Xenopus tropicalis: one gene and its partners. The protein of the gene in region 1 interacts with the protein of each later gene in a biochemical or structural test. Links are inferred from orthologs where the notes say so. Each region holds a gene or a part of one and is shown on either strand. Other genes may lie near its edges. The genes, in order: prmt5, riok1 and snrpd1.

Region 1 (3,553 bases):
TGTGAATGCCTCGCTCAGGGCTGCAAAGCAAGCAGAACGCAAAATCAAGGTGTACGCAGTAGAAAAGAACCCCAATGCTGTGATAACGTGAGTGGGAAATAAAAACCTTTTGGTAGTCTTTTGCAATACTATGCTATATTGCTATATTTGACATACAATTGTACAATGTACAGTGCTCTTTTAAACTCTCTTATCCTTATATGATCGTTGTTTTTGTCTCTCAGGTTGGAAGGGTGGCGTTATGAGGAATGGGGCAGTCAAGTGACTGTGGTGTCTGGTGACATGAGAGAATGGAAGGCACCTGAGAAGGCTGATATTATAGTTAGTGAGCTTCTGGGATCATTTGGTGATAACGAACTGTCTCCTGAATGTCTGGACGGAGCTCAGCACTTCCTGAAAGGTTCAAAATGTGCACAATTATCATTTATTCTTTTGATGTGGATCCTATGAACATTCCCTTGGTTTTATGTCTCCAGATTATCCTCATCACTTTTTGAATATGCCTTATGTGCCTTTTCTTTTTTTTGGCAGAGGATGGAGTTAGTATTCCCAGTGAATACACTTCTTACTTGGCGCCGATCTCTTCATCCAAACTGTATAATGAGGTACGAGCTTGCAGGGAAAAAGACAGAGACCCTGAGGTAAGTACATTTTAATATATTAAGTTACTTGTAGACATCATATTTTGTCCACTTGCCTGTAGTATAGTGATATTTGCAGATTCACAAATAATAGTGTTTTTCCTGTCTATTTTTTTTAAAAATCCCTTTGTTTTTATTTGTGGACCAGTGGTTTTTTGCCATTATAGAATGCTTTGATGGCAGCACATTTCCTACTATCTTTTGCTAGTAAAGCTCTGATAAATACAGCTCTATATTTTTATTTAGCTAAAATAAAACTTGCTTTTACATGGATAAATATAATTCAGTACTAGATGTTTAAAGAAATAAGATACTGCAATGTTGCTTCATTGTTTTGTCTTGCCTTTCATATTACTACTTTCTGCAAAGCAAGTAAGGGGTTATTCTACATTTTTGTCCTGTTAACCTGCTGAGTTCTTCAAACCTAAAAATAAAAATTGACTTTGATAGTTGAATGTACTGGAATAGTGTTCACCAGTTTTTCAAGCCTTAAAAGTAGAGTTCAGTATTAAGAATATATGCATTTTAAACCCTTTAGACATTAAGAAGTCTATGGAGATAAAATGATCCAAGGTATTGTAGTGTATCTAGACCAGTGTTTCCCAAAATTTGGGGCAAGCCAAACCTGAAGCCAAGTTTGGCCTACACCGATTTTGCTGTTCTAAATACTAGAAAGCCCTGAAAATGAATTAGGGTTATATTTGCTATCTTAATAATGTGTACAATTATGACTGGGTGGGGCCTGGCCAAATGTTGGACCTCATGTTGGACACAAAAAAGTTTAAAAAAAAAAAAAAAACTTATTTGGCAACTGGCCTATATTATAGGGTTATTTATTGTGTGAAGTTGTTTTACACATGGTCTGCTGTTTCCATATCTCCAGGCTCAGTTTGAGATGCCCTATGTCGTTAGGCTACACAACTTCCATCAGTTATCTGATCCCTTGCCATGCTTCACATTCCTCCACCCCAACAAAGGTGAGTTAGGAAAGGTGCAAAGAAAATCCATAGAACTGCTATATAGGTTTTTTTTGTTTGTTTCATTAGTTCTTTTCTCCTAGATGCTGTAATCGATAATAACCGCTACATTTGCCTGCAGTACAGAGTAGATCTAAACACAGTGCTACATGGGTTTGCTGGATATTTTGACGCTGTGTTGTACAAAGATGTGACGCTGAGTAAGCATAACCTTCCATAAGATGCATCACATTATTACAGACTTTGCATTAACTCATTGAATTTTCATTTAATTTTTTTCAAAGAATGGCCTTTTTGTACATTATAATCTTTTGTCTTTTGCAGGCATTTGTCCTGAAAGTCACTCCCCAGGCATGTTTTCTTGGTTTCCCATCCTCTTTCCTATCAAGGTAAATAATACATACACTTAGAGAACATCCACAATATCTATGTATAGATCACCCGTCTTGTTTACCCACTCATTGAAAGTATGATTTATGCAGTTTTGCAAATAGTCCTGTTGCTTCCTCTGATGTGGGGCCTTCATGAAGCAGGTGATAACTTTTAATATACTGGCATAAAATAAATATTCTATAGAGATTTTTTTGGAAGTTTAATAAGCTGACCAAGGGAACAGGAAGTAAAATAAAGTCAACTGCACAACATGACAATGAATTGTACTATTTATGCTTGCTATGGTGCTTTAAGTTATTGTTGTAAACTCTTAATTCTTTTTCTGTTTTGTTCTATTAACCAGTCCCTTTCTTTTTCAGCAACCCATTCCTTTGCGGGAGGGCGACACTGTTTGTGTCCGATTTTGGCGTTGTAATAATGGCAAGAAGGTTTGGTACGAATGGGCTGTAACATCCCCTGTGTGCTCTGCAATTCACAATCCTACAGGACGTTCCTACACAATTGGCCTGTGATAGACAAGTTTGAAAACCATCACCTTCATAAGAGAGTGACATGGGGCATACAACGAATGGAGAAATACTAGGGGTTTGTGCTGCAGAAGGGTAGCGCACAATGGGTTACTATCAGCACTTATGACTTTGCCTCTATGAGAGGCTTCCTGCAGTTGAACTGTATGTTTGTTCACTTATAGTCCTTTTTTTATTATGTGTTAATAGCAATGTTTAATATTAAAAGGTTCCTGAGTTAATTTATGCACCTGCGGACATTACATCTAAGAGTATGCCAAAGTTCTAACGTTACCTTTGAATACCGGTGGAAGTAAATTTAATATGAAATATAACCAAGTTTATTCAATTGTGCTGTTGATGGTTCAAAGCATTTTTTAGGGGAAGATACAGATTTTGTAACGGTCTATTTCTCTAGAATCACAAACCATTAAAATGTACCATCAGACATGGACTCTGCCTGGTGAGCAAAACTATTAATAAATCTAGTTCCTTGTGAGAAATATGGAATGCACAGATTTTTGTATTAAGCAGACCATTTGCCATCTCCCGCCCTTTATCGCAGTGTCATGCAACCCCTACCTTACCTTATTCCATGTAAAGCGATTCTGGTGATCTGCTTCTTTAAAAAAATCTGTGCACTACGCACTATAGAAAGCAGAGGGACTAAATGACTTAACAATGGAACAAGGTGGGAAGAGGGGTTTCATCTTACTGTGAGCCTAAGAAAGGAATTTTGCAATAAAATGTTAGTTTCCTTTCAGTTTATGGAAAAAGGTAGGTAAAAATTGTATATCTATATTTATTTTTGGAAGTTTAGTGTTTAAGCACCTTTTTTTAAGCTTCTCTTCCCTTTGACCCTATTACATGCTTTTCTGGGTTGGTGAGCTACTCTGACAACTAAAAAGAAAAAAACACACCATAAAGTTTTATTCTAATATGATAGGTGTTTTGCAGGTGGACCTGTCACCCTTAGAAATAATTACATATTTTCTATTGTGCTAGTCAGGCAAAATACTTACACTATATAAATAAT
Region 2 (4,307 bases), on another chromosome or scaffold:
GAAGACGTTCTGTGTGCACAATTAGCTCCTTAGTTAGCAGCTAATTGTGCACACAGAACGTCTTCCCATAATAACTGTTATGATGGCATAACGTCATTTCCGCAATCAGCAGCTCCTGCCCGCCGTGTCTTGCATTATCCCTTGAATCGCAATAAAAATCGCGATCCATTCATTGCTTTTGCGAAGGCGTTGGTGCGGGCCACAAAATATTGTACCGAGGGCCGCGAGTTTGAGACCCCTGATCTACAGTTCTTCAGATAGTTTGGGAGCATGGCCACAATTAGCCAAGCTGCTGCCGACTTAAGAAGACTAAGCACAATGTATGTAGGTAATCGAGGCCCCAAAAGTTAAGTGCAAAAAAGCTTCCATTAATTGGCCAGACAGATATAATATCTTTCATGTAGTCCCTTAGTGCAGCACTGCTCATATCTGGCAATTAATGATGTGTGGGTTGACGACAAAGTGTCAGAGTTAAAATTTGGCCATGGGTTTGGGTAGGGTGCAGGTCAGACTATGGAAGTCCTCTGCTCCTTAAGATTCCCTGTCTTGGAACAAGAGGTAGCAGAAGTAGAGTATGGAGCAGGAAGACTCACGGATTAAGGTTTTGTGGGTTAGGGTCAGGGGAAGGTTGGCTTTTTCCCAAGACCGTAGATTACTACTGGCAACGTAAAAGGTAAAATCTAGTCCTATACAGAGCATAGTTTAGGGTTCAAACACATCATCATGCAAGTGCCATAAGTACCTATCACTTTCCTAGCCAACAAATACAGTTAAAAATAGGTTTAGCACTGCAGCTGTACTGCACTGGGAATAACAGAGCTGGCACGACTTGCAGTTCAACACTACTTCCATGTACTGTACTGAAACTCGCTGCTCTGATGGAGCCAACACTGTAACGGAATAGCCAGCAGCAGGCAGAACGCACACACAGCGGCCGCCGTACTACTAACCCGCACAGTACAGGGGCACACTGACGCTTATAGCTAGTTCATTACTAACCAGTGTAACCTGGCACTCACCCCTCCCTATCACATCCCTAACCCGCACCCAGCCCCGTTCTACAGCCAGGAGTCTTTTTCCATTTCTACCGTGTCTGCAGCGAATTCCTACTAAAGTACAGTGCCATTCACTACTCTCCGGCCTACCGCTCACTTAGAATTCTAGTCTTTACTAAGCGGCTTTCTCGATGCTAACATACAGAAACCTGGCCATGATGTAGCGCACAAATCTACCCTTCCTCACACACTAAGAACTCACCGCGTCTTCCCAATTTTGCCGATTGTACGTGTTTGATCCGAGCGACGTAGCCATGTTGACTCTCACCACGGCCCGGAAACCAACAGAAAAGCCTAGCACGAATGCGCAAACTACATACGCTAATACGCGTGCGCACTGTGGCACGTATGAGACCGGAATAGAGAGCTGAAATGCTTTCGCGTACTCTGAAGGCAGCACCAGTTCCGTCACATAGCGCTGTCTGGTCACGTGGTCTTGACGCACCGCACGTACAGTCTGCACGCCACATGTGAGCTACTGATATAATAAACACTTCCGAAGTAACCGGGTGAGTACTTGTACAAAGAAGGTTGATGGTTGGTCAGGTTTTAGGCAGTATAGTCTATGGTTGCAATGTGTACAGAGGTGGGAATTAAAAAACTATAAATCTCGTAACTCAAACTGGTCAGTGGAAGCCCCGCCTCAACCCAAAATAAATCTTACATGTCCCAGCATAGACTAGCGGCCAGGTTACTATGGCTTCATTATGGTTTCATTAAACCACGATTTTTTTTTTTGAGACATTCTATTTTTTCCAATTTATAGAACTTTTGGTAATGACCACGATAATATCGTTAAAATAGTGCGATTGTTTTGTGGTTTCCATTAACTTCCACAAAAAAAGTTGTATTTTTTGCAAAGACTATGGCCATTTCAGAATTCATTCAAGCTTTGGTGTTGTGACCTTTTTTGGCCAGGTTGGAGCTGTAGAGTGCTATTGAGAGTCCTATTGAAGGCTTTCAAAATCATGCATTGAAGTTTCAAAGCCAGAAAGGTTTTCTCTCCGTTTACGATAGCTCAGATACAAAAATTTTGTGACTTTCGGATCGCAACCACAATATTTTTGTATGACCAAGAAAAGAATTTAAGCACATCAGAAATTATCGTCGTTACTCCAAATCTTTTCCAATTGTGCTTTTGATTCGCGAAAATTGCTGTTCAAATTGGGTCAGTACACACAGGAATTCAAGCACCTGTCACCTTTTTGCCATGCTGCTTTCGAGCAGTTTGTCACTAAAATTCTACATAAAGCATTTAAAAAAGGCAAGGGGGGAAAGGCTAGACCTAATGTTAAAGATGTTTTGTGACTTATAAATATTGTTTTGTGACGTATTTAAATATTTTTGTGTTACCGTTCTTTAACAAAAACCTCCCATTTTGCAGGGATGTGTATCCAGTGAATGTACTAATGGGAAACATTGGTAGACTTTTGTTTATTGTGTGTTATATGGAGAAATCTATTTTTTTAGTTAATCATGTGTTACTTTTTATTCTTGTAACATTTTTTGGATACACTCTTTTCCAGGTATAAAGCAAAGGCACAAAATAATTTATACAAGGGAGCAAAGGTTAAGCCAATGACTTCTCAAATGTCAGATAATGAAGAAATGGAAAGTTATGAAAGTTTCCTCATGAGAAAAGAACAGGCATCAATGCAGGAGGAAGGAGCCAATAAAGAGGATAGTGAGGATGAGGAGCAGGATGAGGATGATGATTGGTATTGGGATAGAACTGATACAAACATGAAGCACTATTCGGCTACAAGAAGTAGTAATCCACAGGTAATTTGCTTTGCCTTGAAGGGAATTAAAAGTAAAATAATTCTTGACATATTACGGTTGCTTATGGCCTGTTGTAATTTGTGTTAAGACATATGATTAGGTGCCATGTAGGCATTAAACATGTTAAGTTTTTTGGTGTACATATTATTTGAATAAACCATTTTACTTTTTGTGTTTTTCATCATACCAGGAGTTATCAGAAAAGGTCTATGTAAATACAGCCATAAGCACTCACAGAAAAGCTGCAAAAGAAACACAGGATTTTCCTTTCTTCTTTTTTGTACACATGTTCTTCAGTATCAGATTTCCTGCTGTCAGAAACATCTTTCAGGGCAGGGGAATGAGTCTTCTCCTCTCTCCCTTTCCCCCTCCCTTCTCTTGCTCCCTCGCCCAACTGTGCTGTGCAGATCTTAGCTACCTGCAGCTAAAGCTGCAGCATGGAAGCTACTGAGACAAAGCTAAAATAGCAGCTTCTATCTTAAACAGAGAGAGGGAGCTTCTAGGACTCTGTACTCAGATATGGTAAAACTTTCTGCTCACTAAATATAGTGTTCTAGCTTGCACTATTGTGGCTAATCTGTTGGCAGTAAAATGCCAAAATGTCTTTCCTTCTCCTTTAATGTTCTTTCACATTCTTATTTAGAAACCACTTTGTTGTGTTCCAGGCTAACAGAAATGACATACAAAGTGGGTCCTCTAAAACCTACACTGTGTCAGATAAAGTTTTACAGAAGTATGAAAATAAAATCAACTTGGGTGAGTACAAATAACAAGCCTTAAGTGTAAGTCCTTAATTTCTGTTCAGTGTCCTTGAAGTGATTTGTGCATATTTCAAACTAGCTGTAATGAGGGTGCAGTTTCGGTTTGACAGATTCTGCTCCCAAAGTGCTTGGTTCTGCATCCTTTTATTGATAATAGCTTGCTTTTTGTTTATTGATATAATGTATGTATATCTTTATTTATAAAGCGCTACTTATGTACGCAGCGCTGTACAGTAGAATTCATTAATACAGACAGGGGGTTAAAGATAATGGATAAATACAAAGTACAACAATAAATACAATAAATACAAAGTGCAGTTGCAATAAGAGTCAGAAACACAAGATGAAGGCGGTCCCTGCCTGTAGAGCTTACAATCTATATGGGAGGGGTAACTAACAGACACAAATAGGCAAATATAAGTGCTATAGGTCACAGTGGGTGACATTACAGTATAAGTGCCAGTTTCCAGATCAGGTGCTGGGCGAGTGCTCCAAAAGGTAGTCTTTAAGTTTAGTTTTAAAAAGACTGAGGGATGATTCTCTCCGGAGGACATCAGGGAGGGAATTCCAAATGTAAGGGGCAGCAAGGCAGAAGGGTTTAAGGCGGGAAACAGCAGTAGTAGTGGGGGGCGCAACCAAACGGTTGCTCTGCGAGGAACGAAGGAGTCGGCCAGGAACGTACGGAGACACCAGGGAAGAGATGTAGTGA
Region 3 (4,219 bases), on another chromosome or scaffold:
TGTTAGACATCTGCTCACTCCAGCCTTTATAGGTTACATCCCCAACCTTTTATACATTCAAATGGAAAAAGTGTTGAGGAGCAACACAAGCATAAAAATAATCCTGGGGGTGGCAAATGAGAGCTATGATTGGCTATTGGTAGCCCTATGTGGACTGGCAGCCTACACAAGGCTCTGTTTGTCATTATACTTGGTTTTTATTCAACCAAAACTTGCCTCCTAACCAGAAATTCAAAAATAAGCACCTGCTTTGAGGCCACTGGGAGCAACATCCAAGGGGTTGGTGAGCAACATATTGCTCCTGAGCCACTGGTTGGGGATCAGTGCTTTAAGTAGTACTCATTGTGAGGGTATTGGGTCCAAGAAGTGAAGTGTAACGCTTGTTTGGCTATATATAGACAAAACCCATGCTAGTGTTAGGTTTAGAGCATGGGCTACATGCGACTCTCTTAGACAAAATGGGCCTTCGCTAGGTGGAAGAGACCATGCGGAGTAAGGGTGTAGTGGTCCCAGGCTCAGTGGAGCTGTTCCTTGAGATTCAGAAGGCAGCCAAAGAGAAAGTCACATCTCCTTGCTAGACACTATATGAGACTGCAAGGGGTGTGATCAACCCAAATAACCAATAAGGTGTAAACTATATACATGGGACTTTGCCCAGCAGGGGCGGGCCAAGCTGACCAGGCGCCCTAGGCAACCCGGTTGGCCACCCCCCACCCCCTTGCGTGTGCTTAGGCATTTGGCCACTCCCCCTCTCCCCGAATGGCGCCAAAACAAACGCAAGGGGGGGGGGTGCAATCCAATCGGTCATTGCCTCCACCACTAATTACAAGCGGTGGGGGCAATGACAAGTAGCAGGACTAGGGGTAGGCAGAAGAGGCTCCTGTCTGGCGCCCCCCAATCGTTGCGCCCGAGGCAGCTGCCTCTTCTGCCTACCCCTAGTTCCGGCCCTGTTGCCCAGTAACAGTACAAAATCAGAAGAGGTAGGATTTAAAGCCATAGGGGAGCTTAACCCTATGGGTCCCTACGGAAGATTCAAACCTCAGCACTAGTTGTCTAAAGGTCTCTAACAATGGGGATTGCAGACAGCATATCAAAAGCATGTAAAAAAAAAAAAATGCAGTGGCAGGTAAGCAGGTAAAGGGATGTTGTCTTCAGAAAACGAAACATTAACTTTTACCTAAAAATAAAGTTTAATAGTGAGAATACTTATTTTCATGCCATGCAATGCCAATGGCCAACCTAGATCCAAAATGAAATTTAGCTTCAATACCACGCCCTCTTCTACTTCGGCCCCGCCCCGATGGTGTTGTAGCGTTTCTGTTGAATTAAATGCACCAGTTGACTTTAGCTCAGCTATGTATGCTAAGTTTTTATTACAACAGTATTTCTTTATAAATGCATTGCGCTGTATTAGACGAAATTTTAAGTAATCCACAAGCATAAAAGGCTTCGCTGGAACGCCGCTTTGTGCATTTTATTTAAGCAAGTATCTTAACTGCAGTGTAGGCCTCCCCTTATAGTATTGCTTTTTAAAAGTCGAAAATGTAATTCTCCTTTTTCTACGTGGAGACAGGCTAGCGTTTTCATCTTCTATTACACATGTAACAAAAACTTCCGCCCTCGACTGGGGCTTCCGCTTCCGGATCTGACGTAGGTGCCGATTTCCGCTGGAACGTTGCTTTCGCTCAATGAGAATTCGGAGGGTCTAAAAGTAAATTTTCGCGTTTCATTTTGCCAGTCCTATAACCCTTTTCTGGCCGAAGGAGTCGGATCCGCGTTCGTATTAAGAAGTCATGAAGTTAGTTAGGTAAGCGTTTAGATTGTTATGGGTTCCTTCACAGAGGATGGTGGTGGATTGAGAGTTACGTTTGAGAGCTTTGTGTAAGTAGAAGATTACGGCGGGAAGTAAAGGCTCCGTCGGATAATAATGTATTAGCGAGTCTGCGTTGTAATATAAACTGTGTAACTAATGGGTTCATCACGAGCGGCTGGCCATGAACGCTTTTGTTTTTTTTTCTCATAGGTTTTTGATGAAATTAAGTCATGAAACTGTCACAGTGGAACTTAAGAACGGAACCCAAGTGCATGGCACGATCACAGGTAATACAGAGGGGCACATAAATATATACCATAACATTGCTATGTGTACTTAATGTGCACAATGGAAATACTTATTGATAATATCTTTATAAAAGAGACATACCATTTTGTCTTGCTTCAGTGTGTATTGGTTTATATACTACTAGCAAAGGTGTTACTGGTGGGAAATAATGAATTTTCTCAGACTTAATATATAAATAAGCTGTGTGCATCCATGATTGCCCAGTGGGCAGGTGGAACCATTTGCAAGCTGGCATTAAATAATGTGAATTACTGAAAGTCTAGCATGCACCCCAGTGCTGGATATGGCAACTTCAGCCAGCTCCTCTGATTGGTCTCACACTTATGAGCATTTGGATCTGTGGGTCAGGGTGAACATTTATTGGTAGGAGGTAGGTCCGGTGGGGAATATGTAGAAAAGGGGAAGCTTCCCCACAATTGTGGTTTGACTCTGATCATAATTGGCTGTGTATTAGTAACCCCTGTGGTGCAAAGAGCAGGGACTGGTTCTGGTCAATGTGTCTTCTCTGTAAGTCGGTGAAGCCATGCTGTTTTGAATACAGAGTGTAGGTCTTGTCATATACACATGCGTGTCACCTCAAAAATACAGTTCCGGCAGCATAGGTTACATAACTTCTGCTGTCTTTTGTTGCTAAGACTTGGCTTCTGTGCAGTAAGTTTTATTTTGATGGAATGTGCTAAGAAAAGTAGCGTTTATTGAAATTTTCGCCCAAAAACCCACTAGCCCCACCCACCTGTTTTACTACCTGCTGCCTTCTTTTCCCAGGCTGCATCTAGGCCAGTGGTTCGTGAGCAACATGTTGCTCTCCAACCCCTTGGATGTTGCTCCCAGTGGCTTTAAAACAGGTGCTTATTTTTGAATTATGGGCTTTGAGGCATGTTTTGGTTGCATAAAAACCAGATATGCTGCCAAACAGAACATCCTGTAGGTTTTTCAGTCCATATAGGGGTTACCAAATAGCCAATAACAGTCCTTATTTAGTAACCAAAGGAACATGTATTATGCCTGTTTTGCTCCCCAAGTCTTCTTATATTTGAATGTGACTCACGGATAAAAAAAGGTTGGGGATCCCTGATCTAGGCAAACCTGATAGGGAGCTGAAGCCTTCCTTTGTGTGAGTGCAGGGCTGTGATTGGCAACCCCCCCTCCTACTGTGTTTATGGCAGGGACCGTTAGGACACGCCCCCCTCCCTCATTTGAAACAGGGAACTAAGAGAATATTTTTGTTAATCCTATATGCCTCCTTTAAATTTTGTTGGATGCCCTAGTAAAGCACCAATAACTGCAAATAACAGTGATACTAATCTGTGATTACTGTTGTGTTCAGCCATTGGACAACTTCCCAGTTTATGGTACTCAGTGCTAATTTTTAAACCAGGGGCACCTAATCTCCCCAAAATGCCATCCCACCGACTAGAATGTAAATCGCCGATGCAGTGGCATATGCGGCAGGGCGATTTGCCGAAGTTGCAAAGGAACTTCGGCAATTTCTGCGCCATGTATGCCGTCCCACCGGGAATTACATTCTAGCCGGTGGGATGGCATTTCGGGGAGATTTGTCGAGTGGCGACTAATCTCCCCGTCTGCCACAGCCCTTAGTTTACAAAATATTCTGCCCCTGCTTGCAATGCCTATTCACATCTCCAACCTATTCTGTTGTGTTCTTTCATGTTACCACAAATTTGTTTGGACATGGGACAACAACTTGACAGAGACATCTCATCCGGGAGAAAGTCAACAGCTATTTTTAGTTACCAAAATTTTGGTCAAATAGAATGGGCCAGTCTGTTGTGGGCAGGGGGACCTGTCAGATTTTATCATACCATAGGGTACAACCAAATGCAACAAAACCTTTTTCAAAGATGTTCTTTTAATTTGTCATACGTTTACCTTAAAGGGCACCGATCGCGCTAAAATTGCTTCCCCACCAAAGTTGCAGGCTAATAGAGCCCACACTCTGGTTGGGAGATGCAGTAGTTTTTGGGTTTTTTTTAAAGTCTGTCTGCACTAGGCCGCCCCCCACCAGGAGGGAGCTCCCAGTGCGGCGGCCATGTTAATTAAGCATGCATGCGCATTATGCGGGAGACTCCCGCTCAC

The links.
Region 2: the proteins of prmt5 (region 1) and riok1 are reported together in a solved structure, tested with the Homo sapiens proteins (2 studies listed by BioGRID, with this or other methods). The link is inferred for Xenopus tropicalis from reciprocal best matches to the Homo sapiens genes PRMT5 and RIOK1.
Region 3: the proteins of prmt5 (region 1) and snrpd1 form a complex in vitro, tested with the Homo sapiens proteins (2 studies listed by BioGRID, with this or other methods). The link is inferred for Xenopus tropicalis from reciprocal best matches to the Homo sapiens genes PRMT5 and SNRPD1.

The regions. Positions count from the first base shown.
Region 1 is NC_030677.2:140,165,841-140,169,393, reverse strand, and holds the end of prmt5 (protein arginine N-methyltransferase 5), read left to right. Parts: coding exon 1-87; intron 88-224; coding exon 225-400; intron 401-531; coding exon 532-641; intron 642-1,524; coding exon 1,525-1,618; intron 1,619-1,701; coding exon 1,702-1,818; intron 1,819-1,942; coding exon 1,943-2,007; intron 2,008-2,370; coding exon 2,371-2,523; 3' UTR 2,524-3,020; downstream 3,021-3,553. UniProt on the Homo sapiens protein: Arginine methyltransferase that can both catalyze the formation of omega-N monomethylarginine (MMA) and symmetrical dimethylarginine (sDMA), with a preference for the formation of MMA.
Region 2 is NC_030682.2:89,093,574-89,097,880, forward strand, and holds the start of riok1 (serine/threonine-protein kinase RIO1), read left to right. Parts: upstream 1-1,471; 5' UTR 1,472-1,564; intron 1,565-2,123; exon of another isoform or gene 2,124-2,223; intron 2,224-2,581; 5' UTR 2,582-2,633; coding exon 2,634-2,837; intron 2,838-3,502; coding exon 3,503-3,593; intron 3,594-4,307. Other genes in the region: pre-mRNA-splicing factor RBM22, read right to left, coding at 1,258-1,311. UniProt on the Homo sapiens protein: Involved in the final steps of cytoplasmic maturation of the 40S ribosomal subunit. Involved in processing of 18S-E pre-rRNA to the mature 18S rRNA. Required for the recycling of NOB1 and PNO1 from the late 40S precursor.
Region 3 is NC_030682.2:65,069,968-65,074,186, reverse strand, and holds the start of snrpd1 (small nuclear ribonucleoprotein Sm D1), read left to right. Parts: upstream 1-1,350; 5' UTR 1,351-1,793; coding exon 1,794-1,807; intron 1,808-2,023; coding exon 2,024-2,100; intron 2,101-4,219. UniProt on the Homo sapiens protein: Plays a role in pre-mRNA splicing as a core component of the spliceosomal U1, U2, U4 and U5 small nuclear ribonucleoproteins (snRNPs), the building blocks of the spliceosome.